Linked DNA regions of Oryctolagus cuniculus. The protein of the gene in region 1 binds, or shares a complex with, the protein of each later gene. Links are inferred from orthologs where the notes say so. Each region holds a gene or a part of one and is shown in the gene's direction. Other genes may lie near its edges.

Evidence for each region.
Region 2: SNRPF (region 1) and PLRG1 share a complex: the UniProt entries of both Homo sapiens proteins name them as parts of the minor spliceosome. The link is inferred for Oryctolagus cuniculus from reciprocal best matches to the Homo sapiens genes SNRPF and PLRG1.
Region 3: SNRPF (region 1) and GEMIN2 share a complex: the UniProt entries of both Homo sapiens proteins name them as parts of the SMN-Sm complex. The link is inferred for Oryctolagus cuniculus from reciprocal best matches to the Homo sapiens genes SNRPF and GEMIN2.

Annotation. Positions count from the first base shown.
Region 1 is NC_091442.1:98,723,661-98,727,924, forward strand, and holds the start of SNRPF (small nuclear ribonucleoprotein F), read left to right. Parts: upstream 1-1,464; 5' UTR 1,465-1,601; coding exon 1,602-1,604; intron 1,605-3,584; coding exon 3,585-3,710; intron 3,711-4,264. UniProt on the Homo sapiens protein: Plays a role in pre-mRNA splicing as a core component of the spliceosomal U1, U2, U4 and U5 small nuclear ribonucleoproteins (snRNPs), the building blocks of the spliceosome.
Region 2 is NC_091439.1:11,052,317-11,056,455, reverse strand, and holds the start of PLRG1 (pleiotropic regulator 1), read left to right. Parts: upstream 1-1,339; 5' UTR 1,340-1,441; coding exon 1,442-1,450; intron 1,451-2,783; coding exon 2,784-2,890; intron 2,891-3,205; exon of another isoform or gene 3,206-3,277; intron 3,278-3,946; coding exon 3,947-4,089; intron 4,090-4,139. UniProt on the Homo sapiens protein: Involved in pre-mRNA splicing as component of the spliceosome. Component of the PRP19-CDC5L complex that forms an integral part of the spliceosome and is required for activating pre-mRNA splicing.
Region 3 is NC_091443.1:36,529,034-36,533,130, reverse strand, and holds the start of GEMIN2 (gem-associated protein 2), read left to right. Parts: upstream 1-1,297; 5' UTR 1,298-1,309; coding exon 1,310-1,482; intron 1,483-1,830; coding exon 1,831-1,915; intron 1,916-4,097. UniProt on the Homo sapiens protein: The SMN complex catalyzes the assembly of small nuclear ribonucleoproteins (snRNPs), the building blocks of the spliceosome, and thereby plays an important role in the splicing of cellular pre-mRNAs.

The DNA of each region.
Region 1 (4,264 bases):
GCTGTCTTTACATATTTGATGTTCAAGTTGTCAAAATTGGGACATCCTTTTGAATGACCCCGTCACTCTGAGCATTTTTCCTACTTCTGCATAACAAGACACTCCAGGCTCATTTTGTGCAGGCTGGAATGTAGCCAATTTTCTAAAGTTGCTGAAAGGTGGCTTTATGAAGTAGAGAAAGCAGTTTTGGGGTTAAAATCCAGCTACGTGCCTCTGGGCAAGTTCTCTGCCAAGTCTGTTTTTCTCATCTCAGCTGTAACTTCAGATCACACTGTGTGATTTCTATAATAATTGGGAAAGAGCCGGACATAAAGTTAGGAACTAAAGATTATAGCAAAGTTAAAGATGCAGGGGTGTAACATCTGGCATAGCGCCTAAGACGCCCACATCCCAGATGGGAGTGTCTGGCTTGGAGTCCCCGCTGGGTTTCTGACCCAGCTTCCTGCTAATGCACCCTGGGAGGCAGCAGGTGATGGCTCAAGTAGTTTGGGTCCCTTCCACTCACTTGGGAGTTCCCAGCCCCCGGCTTCAGCCTGGCTTGTTGCGGGTGTTTGGGGAGTTGAGCCAGTAGGTCCAAGAGCGTGTACGCTCTCTGTCTCGCTCTCGCTCTCTCATAAAGAAAATTAAGAATTTTTTTTCTTAAAAGCTGAAGATCCACGACACGATGACTAACCAGAAAAAACCCAGTGCACTTTGGGGTAAATAATTCTAACAGCTATTCGGTCTACACCACACTGATGATCACCCTGACTTGCTGCTCATCATTTAAACCGACAACACGTAAGTCACAGCGAGCATCTCCTGAAAGCTCAAGTCCAAACGCATCTTCTGGGGGGTGTCCAGCAGCAGGCGGTCCTCCTCCAAGCGCCAGTTCTCCGAGATCTGCATTCAGCACCTCCCATCCGGGCTAGTCCAGCGTCGGTCGCGCGGAGAGGGGCTGGCGGCTGCGTCGCGGGCACCGATCAGCCCGTGCTGCCGCAGGTGCTCCCCAGGCCGGCGGGGCCGGGGGCCCGCGGGCAACGCCCCGGGGGAGGTCCTGGCTCCTAGTCTGCAAAGAATTCTGCCGCGGCCCCTCCGTTTCACCTCCCCGCCTCCAGGCCCGCTCCTCTCATTTCCTCTTAGAACGCTGAAACGGGTGCTACCGAATAGACAACCTTCAGGTCGAAGGGGGCTGTGGCAGAGGCGCCCCCAAATCGCGGTACCCGGGGACCTGAGAGCCCCGAACGCGTTCTCACCGTTGTAAACTAACAAAGCGACCCCCCATTAGCCAAGCTGCCGAGAAATCACGTGTGCGCCACAGGGTACGCGGCCTCTCACAGCCGGTTCTTCAAGGCAGGGGAGAAGACTAGTAACGCCGAACGCGTCTCTGGTTGCTGGGAGACACGGCTGCGCCATCTCCTCCAATCAGCACACGCCTCTTTTTGACCAATCATAGAAGGCGAAAGAGCGGTGGTGGGAGGTGAAAGGTCAAGCTGAGGTTTGGCGGCCATTTCTCTTGCAACTTCGGAGGTCTGGGCCTTGGGGGAAGCTGCTCCGAGCACGCGGGACGGGCTGTATCTGCGTCGGCGGCGTCTAATCCGCAACGTTAGCCCGAAGTCGTGATGGTAAGGAGAGGGAGGACTGCTGGAGTCGCGAGACGGAGAGGGCGGGAAGGCAACTTCGGGCTGGCTGAGCCTGGTGGCGGCTTCGCGCCTTTCCCATTCATCCGCGAGGCGCAGCGCACCGGGGCGCCAGTCTGCGGGTTCCGCGGACGCGCGCGAGTCCCTTCCTGGCTGGGACGACCCTCGCCTCCTGCTGCCTCTTCTTTCTGAGTCCAGGGAAGAAAGAGGTAGTCGGGGTGGATGTAGCAAACGCTGAAGCGGTTTGCGTTTCCCACTTCGTCGCACTCATGAAGCCGCTTTTATTCCGTCGGTGATGTTTCTCCAGCCCGCCTTGGCCCAGGCCCCGGAGCGTTCGTGTATTCGTTCTGACGCTTATTGAGCGCCGGCGACTTGGCCAGGTTGAGTCTTGGGCTCCAGGACTAGAGACTGAGAAGTGCCCATGCGGACCCTGCACCGGCCGAGCTGGGCGGGGTGTGAGAGACAGACGTCCGTCAGGCGCTGTTCACCGAAATGGGCACCGGCCTAGACGGGAGCGGGCGGGAGGCTGCGGCCCCGGGGCGCTGGGGCGCCTTCCGCGGCTGCCCCCGGAGGGGGGCTTTCACCCGAGCCCGGGTGACAGGAAATGGGGCTCCGGAACGATGAGGGAGGGACAGCTACACTCGTGGTGGGTGTTGGCCGAAAGCGGCCACCGCTTGCGAGAGCGCCAGGACCTGGGCAGCGTGTGGAGGGTCTACCCCGGCGCCCTCGGCAGCCGTCGGAGCTTTCTCATCAGGCCCGATGGGATGCGCTCTGGCACACGTCGTAGCGGCTGTGTGCTCGCTGCGCCCGAGAAGTGGGGAGCTGGGGGCCGTTAGGCGGTTATTGCGGGTGGAGCCCTCCTACTTTTCCCGCGATTTAGTAGCGGTGTCTGGGTTCTTCCTCGGGGTGAGGAGGTGAGCGCGGAGAGACTCGGTTCGCCGGCGATGCACCGGTCGGGTGAGGACCGAGCCCTGCCGAGCTTGGTCCTGCCCCGAGTGGGATGCTGACCGTACTGCTTGTTCTCGGGATGACGCGCGCAAGCGCACACATACACACGGTCATTCCAGATGGGAAGCCTCCCTGGCCTCCAGCGGTCCCCTTTCCCTCTGGAATAGACTTCACCCTTTAAAACGGAGGCATTGCTCCTACCAGGCAGCCCGTTCCTGTCTTTTTTCCTGAGTTGGTTGGGCCTTTCTGCATAGCATCGCTCTTACTGCTTTGCAATATAATTGTCTGTATGTCTGCAGCGCCACACCCCCACCCTGGCTTCTTAAGGACAGAGCCTCGTTACACGTTTGTTGTAGGGCTTTCATCTTTGTTTCCTTAGAGCTTGCGACACTGAGGACTGCAGGTGCCGCTTGTCTCCTAAGTGCAGCGTGAACACTTATTTTTTTGTGATGGGTTGAAGACGAAATGGGATAACTGGTTAAATTTCCCAGATGCTAGCCGGCGCCGTGGCTCACTAGGCTAATCCTCCACCTTGCGGCGCTGGCACACCGGGTTCTAGTCCCGGTTGGGGCGCCGGATTCTGTCCCGGTTGCCCCTCTTCCAGGCCAGCTCTCTGCTGTGGCCCGGGAGTGCAGTGGAGGATGGCCCAAGTGCTTGGGCCCTGCACCCCATGGGAGACCAGGAAAAGCACCTGGATCCTGGCTCCTGCCATCAGATCGGTGCGCCGGCTGCAGCGGCGGCCATTGGAGGGTGAACCAACGGCAAAGGAAGACCTTTCTCTCTCTGTCTCTCTCTCACTGTCCACTCTGCCTGTCAAAAAAAAAAAAAAAATTTCCCAGATGCTCTTCAACAAACAAAAGTGGAAATTAGGTAGTAGAGTGATAGGGAGTGAAGAGTTTGCTTCATTTGGATGTTACAAAATATTGATTGGTGGATTGGTAGAGGAGAGTGAGGAGTGGAAGCCAAGTTAAGGAAAAAAAAAAATCAATGGATTTTTTGTTTGTTTGTTTTGTGCAGAGTTTACCCCTCAATCCCAAACCTTTCCTCAATGGATTAACAGGGAAGCCCGTGATGGTGAAACTCAAGTGGGGAATGGAGTACAAGGGCTACCTGGTGTCTGTAGACGGCTATATGAACATGCAGGTAAGCTAGAGGTGAAAGGGTGGTGACACTGTGTTTCTTCTGTTCCACTTTATTCCTCCAAGGTTTCGTGTGACTAATAATTCATACAGTTGGCAAAGATAGAACAAAATTCAGGAATGAAGTCAAGGCCAGGGAGGATGTTACAACTGATAGACTAGGTACAAGACACGGGGTTAGGCCAGGATTCACAGACCTTACTCGTGGTGGGTAAAGTGAGGAGGACTCAGGCATTTGATTATTCATATAATAAGGGAAATACATGAGTTGCTTTCAAAAGCAAACCTTTTTCCAGCGCTTAAATCTGATATTTTTCAAGTGAAATTCTTGTCTCTTAATGAATGCTAAAGGCACAACATTAATGTAATCAACTAGAAGCATTTCTTCAGAGGGAAGACAGATTAGCTGAAAGAATTGATGAACTATGTTGGTTAAACTAGTTGTAAATGATTTTGCCAGTGAGGGGGGGGATTTGGTGTGAATTTTTTTATTGTGATAAAATATACATAAAAATTTGGCCACTTTAACCATTTTTAAAGATGTCACTCAGTAATAGT
Region 2 (4,139 bases), on another chromosome or scaffold:
ATAATCCATGTATCTCTGAACTAGGTAAGAGGGTCACTCGAGCTTTGTAGACCATAAAGCTTCAAGCACAGTACATAATTCTGTATATTCAACAGTGCTTTAAAAAGAGTAAAAAGTAGTTCAATTTGCTTCAATCACTACAATATTTTATAAGAGTCTGGGTTTATAAATTAAATGTCTCCAGGATTATCGAACAAGCTTACAAGTCCAACTAGACAGTTCTTGTATTGTCGGATACATTGGAGTCTTGCTTACATTTCTAGTTTGTCATTTAAAAACATTCTTTTCCATAGTAATTACTATTCATAGGTGAGTTATATTTTTATTCCCTATGTATACGTACTCTACAGCATTTCCTTGCAAAGTGTCCTATCCTGGGCCACTTTAACAGAAAATAAAATCTGAAGTCAAACTCGCATTCAAATTCTGAGATGATGGTATTTTCAAGTAAAAACATAACCTTAATGTTTTAAATAAAATTAAAACTTCGTGAATTTCAGGAGACTGTTGAACCACTTTGCCCTGTTCTTGCTGGAGACTCCTCCCACGCGCCCCACTGCACCCCAGACCCGCAGTATGCGCTGGGGACAGGATCAGTGAAACTGATGAGGGTTAAGGGAGAACCGGGGCCACCGAGATGACTGTAGATCTGTTTGCAAACACTCAACTACATCAATTTTGTAGCTGCATCGTGGCATTACTGAACCCATATTCACCAACAACTAGGCAGTAGACAAGTGGTAGGTCGTTTATGAGAAACTAAAACACTATGTAGCCCAAAATAAATGTGGGGCTGTGCTGAATGCGGTAAAAGAGTTATTCTGCAGACATGTCCAAATTTCTCAACCTGAAACCACGGTTCTGCAGCATGCCTTCCCACCAGCGCCGCTGGATTCTGTAAGCGCAACTATTTCCAAGCGCTGAGAACGCACCAGGCTCTAAGCGCATCCAGCCAGGCGCTGCAATCAGCCGACCCAAACGCGGAAGGCGACCCCTAAGTCAGTGAGACCGTGTTAGGGCAGGACCTCAGAGCCCAGGCAGGGTCGCTCTCCAGAACGCCCCCCGTCCCCCGCGCTGATTTCTTAACATTTCCGACTAAAAGCCATCCAGCTTCCAAGGAATTCAGCACAACGGACCAGGGCCCCTAACGCACTGTAAAACTGATTCAATTTGGCAGAAAACAGTATTTTGACTCGTTCACAACGCTCTGCGACACGTCCCAGCCCTGTCCGTTCAGACTCGGCCCCAGGCGCGAGCAGGAAGGCCCGCCCCCCGCCCCTGATCCCGAAAGGCCGAGCGAGCGGCGCGCGCGCGCAGCGCTCTACGTCATATCCGGCGCCAGGCCGTCCGATTCCGGAAGTGGCTGCCCAGTTGTGGCGGCGCTCTCTGCGCGGGTGATAGGTGTCTGTTCTGCAGGAGAGCTGGGGTACACGGCATCATCATGGTCGAGGTAAAGTGATGGTCGGGCGCTCAGGAGGCGTTTGCCTCTGGAATGTTTTATTTGGCAGCGCGCTGGGGGGATGGAGCGTGCTGGGAGGCTGGAGAGGGAAGAGGCTGCCAGGGCAGCTGTGTGGCCAAGGCCAAGTGGTCTCTTCTTAGGGAGGTGCTTTGCGCAAAGGGTCTAGGGTGCATGGAAACCCGAGTCTGAAGCTCCGTCCGGCGGGGAGCCGTAGATGATTTCTGCAGTGCTTGTCTGACCCCCGGAATCCGGGCTCTGACCTCGGAGGCGGGGCTCCTGTTGATGTCCGACCCCTGGCCGGTTGTCGCTGCCGGCGTACATAGTGGCACTAATTCTGCCACCTAAAAGACTCTGGCGGTCAATTCACCTCGTGTTTCAGCCCACGCCAGGAAAGCCTGCCGTTCTTGATGCCTTACGTGTTTTTCCCACCTGGTTTGAACATTAGCAGGCCTTGCTCGTCTTACTGCGAACATTGCCTGACGCCATCCTCTCTGGTCCATATCCGCTGCAAGTCATCTTAATTCAGACGGACGTTATCTTTAGCCAGGAGCGACGCACTGGCTTCCAGCTGACTTTCTTCTTTTTTTGCCCTCCTATAAATTGTTCTATGCAAGACATAAGTTGGCCATGGTTTTCTGGCTTAAACCCCTCTCCTGTCCCTGTGACAATAGGACAAAACTCGAGACTGTTGGAATGGTCTAAAAAAGGCCTTTCCTAACTGGACTTTACCTGCCTTGGCAACCTCGGCTTACTCCGCATCCCACCCTGTCACCCAGCCTGCACCCCGGGCATTATTTCAGTCCTTGGTCACCTTTGCACTGGGCATGTGCCGCTGCCTGGGCTGCGCTTACCTGTGTTCCCTCCTGTCTGTTCGGACTTCGCTGCAGAGCGCTCTTTCGCCGTCATATCTGGTTCCTCCTGTGTTCTCTGCCTTGGCCTCTTGTCTTTATAGCGCTTACCCAAGTGTGGACTTGCTTTCCTAGTTTTGCTTGTCTTCTTCCTCCTGAGTACAAGGAGCGTGCTGCCTATCATTCTGTTGTCAGCTTTAGCACCGTGCTGACAGAGAGGTGGAGCGAGCCTAGTAGGTATTTCCTGAGTAAGGGGGTACTCTCACCTCACTCAGCTGCTCTAGCCGAGGCTCTGGCGATGAACTTGACCCCTTGTAGCTTGCTGCAGGAGTAGCTGTGGTGAGTGGTATGGAGCGTTCGACATTCTCACACACGTAAAGCGTCTGATGAGTTTGACTGTAATTCAGGTTACGCTGTGGGTAATTTATAGGTTAAGTGTGTAATTACACACACACACTCTCTCTCCCTTTCTCTAGGAAGTGCAGAAGCATTCTGTGCACACGCTTGTGTTCAGGTCCTTGAAGAGGACCCATGACATGTTTGTAGCTGACAATGGAAAACCTGTGCCTTTGGATGAAGAGAGGTAGGCATAGTTTTCTTTCATTTGCTAAAATTGTTAAAATTCTAATACTGGGAGAAGAGATCAGGGAAAGGGAGACCTTTAAACATTACTTAGTAATACTTGGTTTTACTCATGTAGTACTCAGGTAGTGCTCATGGACTGTCTCTTTAATGAAAGCTCTTTGGGCATAATTTTAACTGGTTTAACCTTTCTTTTTTTTTGGCCTTTATGGTAAAGAATCCCATTAATTAATTGCATTTTACAAATGTCCGGTAATTAGGAGAGTCCCGTTCAGGTATTTTATTTTATAATCAATCACTTTGTATGTGCTTTCAGCTTCCCGCTGCTCTCAGAGCCTTGCTGAGCTGAAATTGTACCTGGCCAGTACTTCTACTCCCATCTTTTCTCGTTAGTATGGTGAAGATTGTTGAGTGGGGGCATAGTTTTGGTTCTACATCTCCAGCTCCAGTCTGGGATTGCATTATGTGCAATGTTCCTTCTTTGTCCTTTGCCCTTCTTTTTAAAACTTAATTCCTGAAACAAATATTTCTATTTCATTTACAAGATGAGGTTTTCTTAAAAGTAATATAAGTGCATTTCTTTTTAAAAATACTGAACTAATTTAGTACTTTGATTAGTTCCAACTAACCTTTCTAGATACATCTGTTTAAGGTTACTGAGGTAATTTTTACTGTTTTTATATTTAGATATATGAAGGAAATAAGTGTAGGCCTTGAAAGAATTTTTAAGGGTATATTAGTTTCTATATATCTTTAAATCAGTTTGACCTTTGATAACTAATCATGAAATGTTTTATTTATTAAGTGACAAATTAAAATATTACTTGGATTTAATGCCTGCCATGTGATAAATTGTGAATTAAAGTAACTACATATGATGTGGAAATGCACTTGGAAATTTTAGGTTTTTTTGAAATATTGTTTAAAATCTTACTAGAAACTTATACGTCACTGGGCAAACTTAAATTATGTTTCCTAGCTATCTGTAAACACTTAAATTTGTGAGTGTATTTTACATATTTAAGGATACATTCTTATGTTTATAATTTTTAAATAGTCACAAACGAAAAATGGCAATCAAGCTTCGTAATGAGTATGGTCCTGTGTTGCATATGCCAACCTCGAAAGAAAATCTTAAAGAGAAAGGCCCCCAGAATGCAACGGATTCATATGGCCATAAACAGTATCCTGCCAATCAAGGTCAGTATGGTGTTATCAGCAATATTTGAGAAATATAAAAACAAATAAAA
Region 3 (4,097 bases), on another chromosome or scaffold:
AAGAATCTTTAATTCATCTGAAAGGCAGAGCAACATAGAGAGGGGAATAGAGAGAAAAACGGAGAGAATAGAAAAAGAGAGAGAGAGAGATCTTCCATCCATGGGTTCACTCTCCAAATGCCCCCAACAGGCAGGCCTGCTTGAAGACAGATCCAAGAAGCCCGGAACTCCTTCTGGGTCTCCCACGTGGATGGCAGGGATCCAAATACTTAAACCATAACCTTCTCCCTCCCAAGGTACACATTAGCAGGAAATCAAACCAAAGCAGAGTAGCCAGGACTCCAACCAGGCACTCAGATATGAAATGTAGATGACCCAAGCGGCGTCTTAACAGCTGCACCACAATGCCCACCCCAGTGAAAAATTTTTGATCAAATAACTTTCCAGTTTGACAGCAACTGTGTAGCTACAATTGGTAAGTACTACTAATTTCTTAGCTCTTTTAAGAACTGTTCTCCCTTTATCTTCAATTAAATGAGTTACATCCTGGTTGGAAAGCTAAAGGCAGTGCCAAAAAAAAAAAAAAAAAAAAAGTCTTAAAAGTATACACGTTAAAAAATAAAGGTCAATTGTATTCCCTCAGAGTCTGTTTACAAAAGATCAGATATAATACTTCCATTGTTTCTTGCACTTTGTGACTCAGAACAAGTTACTTAATTCATTTCTGTCTTGTTTGCACACCTATAAAATAAAAATAATAATAGCAACCACCTCACAGGATTGACCTAATATTAATAATGGTAATTTCTGAATGCTGGTGCTAGTTTTATCCTTTGATTATTTGTATTTAAGCAAAGAGATTTTTCATTCATTTGGTATCAGGATTGTAATTGCTTGGAAGAAAATCACAGTTGTAGAACTTAACTACTTTTTATGTCGATTTCTTCCCCCTCGAAACCGAAATAATACTAGCTTCTTCACAGGGTTGTTGTGAGAATTAAATGAGGAAATTTATAAAACGATTTTCCTGGGGTTTAAGAATTTAGAGCTCCAAAAATGATAATTATGCAAATACGTGATTTGATCCTAAAGCGTTTAAGGATCGTACACTAATAGGGATGAATAGAAGTTAATAACCCTCAGTCTTTACTCCAGCCTTAAACGAGAAAACACGATGTGAAAACCCGAAAACCGCTTTAGGACAACTTCCAGGAACCAAACCTGCGGCTCACTTTCCCACTGAAGCCTTAACCTCCAGGCAAGTAGTGCCTCTGCTCATGCGCACTTACGCTTTCTAAACTGCCGCAGGCTCTGCAGCGCGCCAAAATACACCTACTTGTGCGCCTGCGCCATGACCTAGACTAGGCGCATGCGCAGGGAGGGACCGGCTGGATTGAAAGCTATGGCGTGGGTACCTTCTTCCGAGTCGGCGGTGGAAGAGTTGATGCCCCGGCTGTTGCCGGTGGAGCCTTGCGACTTGACGGAGGGTTTCGATCCCTCGGTACCCCCAAGGACGCCGCAGGAGTACCTGAGGCGGGTCCAGTGAGTGCTTTGGCCCCGTACGGGTGGGCTCATCGTTCCCCCTGCCGCTGGGCAGGGCCCGTGGTGCCAAAAAGTCCCGTCCCTGTTGTCCCAGTTTATGCTCCGCATCTCTGGGTTACATCCCAAGTGGCGAGTTTCCTTTTAACTTGATAACGGATACCGAGATGTGTGTTCTTGGATTTCTTTGCTTTCAATCCAGATAATGTCAGACATCCCGTGTTTAGTACCCCAGTTGGAATTCTGGATTTTTAATTTCCTAATGAACTGTGGAAGTGGATCGCTTGTTTTACTGCACGCGAACAAAGCGCGATAGTAATTAAATTTCTTGCATTTATTGCTTATTTGTAGGATCGAAGCAGCTCAATGTCCAGATGTTGTGGTAGCTCAGATTGACCCAAAGAAGTTGAAAAGGAAGCAGAGTGTGAATGTTTCTGTGAGTTTTATAATCTTATGGGGATTTCCCTGACACACACATTCTTATAATATCCGAGAGTGTCGACTGTGGTGTACGTGATAGCTGACTGCTTCCTCTGGAGTTAAGCATTGGCTTGCACGCTTTGCCTCTGCCGCCTCGCAAGAACCTTTTCGTGACCTGGAGTTTATATGAAGACTTGCTCATCTTACTTTAGGGACGTGACCCAATACCTAAGGAGCCTTTAAATAGGCTACTTGCACTTTTATTTTTAAGGAACCTTTTTCCAGTTACGTTTTCATAATTACTTCTCTGGTGTTTATTTAGTGTAGTTTGCATGTTCTGAATTTGGCTGGTTTTTGTTTTTCTAAGAATAGAAAGCTGATCTCTTAGGCTTTTCTAGTTATGTGCATTTCTACTTATGGACACTTTTATTTATTTATTCAGCAAGTAGGAAAAGTAAAGTTAGTTGTTTTTGTTGTGACTAGGTTGTGCCAGGCTCTGGGAATACAATACAGGAAGGGATAAAAGATGCCTACCCTGATAGAGCTTACATTCTTCTGAAGAAGTTGGAGTAAACAAACAAAAATTAAAATTATGTATTGTGAATATTGCAGTGAAGAAAATAAACATCTATGATAATAAAAGAGAGAGCCCAGGTGGGCATTGTGGTGCAGCAGGTTGAGCTACGGCTTGGGACACCCATATAATAGTGCTGGTTACTCTGCTTTTGATCCAGCTTCCCAATAATACACTTGGGAAGCAGCAGATCATGGCCCAAGTATTTGAGTTCCTGCCACCCACATGGGAGACCTGCATGGAGTTCCTAACTTTGACCCAGCCCCAGCTGTTGCCATCTTTTGAGAAATAAACCAGGAGCCAGTGCTGTGGAGCAAAGGGTTAGGCTACTGTCTGCAGTGCTGGCATCCTATATGGGCACCAGTTTGGGTCCCAGTTGCCCCACTGATGGTGCACCTGGGAGAACAGTAAAGGATGGCCCAGGCGCTGGGTCCCCTGTCTCCCATGTGGGAGCCTTGGAAGAAGCTCCTGTCTCTGGGCTTTGGCCAGCCGAGCCCTGGCTGTTGGGGCCATTTGGGGAGTGAACCAGCAGATGGAGGATCTCTCTATCTTCTCTGTCTCTGTTTATCCCTCTTTTTCTGTCACTCTGATTTTCAAGTAAATAAATAAACCTTGGGGAGGAGAGAAGGGAGAATTACTTTAGTTGGAATAGTCATGGAAAGTCTATCTAATTTAGATATATCTAAATTATATTTAACCGAAGACCAAATAAAGAATGGCATTTTAAATTTTTATACTGGTATATCCTTTTCTTTCTACATTCTAAGCAATTTCTTTATCTGATATTTAAAATTATGAACATTTTAAATATTAATTTGTTATTACTATTGTTAGAGAGGGAGGGAGTACTTCCATCTACTGGTTCACTCTCCAAGTGCCCAGGATTGGGCTGAAATGAAGTTGGGAGTACAATGCTGGTCTCCCACCTTGGAGGCCAGAATCCAATTATTTGAGCTATCCCCACTGTCTCCCAAGGTCTGCATTAGCAGGAAGCTTGAGTTTGGAGCCAGAGCAGGGAGTGAATCCCTGGCACACCAGTGTAAGACACAGGCATCTTAGCTGTGAGGCCTACCCACTCCTCATCAGACACTAATGGGTTCATATAATTCCTTTTCATAAGTTTTTTAGTTTGTGGAACATGTAGTATGTATCTTACTTTAAAAAAGTGACCCTAATGAGTTTTATTTCAGAACAGTCCTATGTGATCAATTATGGACTATATACTCTTTTGGTAAACAAAAGTAGACTTCTTTTAAAGTCATGTCTTCAAATTATTTGAGTTCATTTTGTCCATACCAAAACTCTTTATTCTGAATATTTTTGTTTCAGTTTTATTATTATAGAAATGTAGGCCTAGATTATATCTCCAGAGATCATGTCATTTAATTTCCTAGAAACTCCCAACTATAAACCATTCCAGATTTCTCTTATTAAATAAAATATAGTGATCTTTTTTCTTACATTTTAAACCAAGACATAAATAGTGCAGTGAAAGGCCTACTTTTGTGTAACTGCAAAATGTACTTTTTGTCTTAGATCTTAGTTATTCTTCATCTTAGTTTTACATGTACCTTACAAAGGCATGGATTCTAGTTATAACACTAACATTGAACCTAACGCCTGT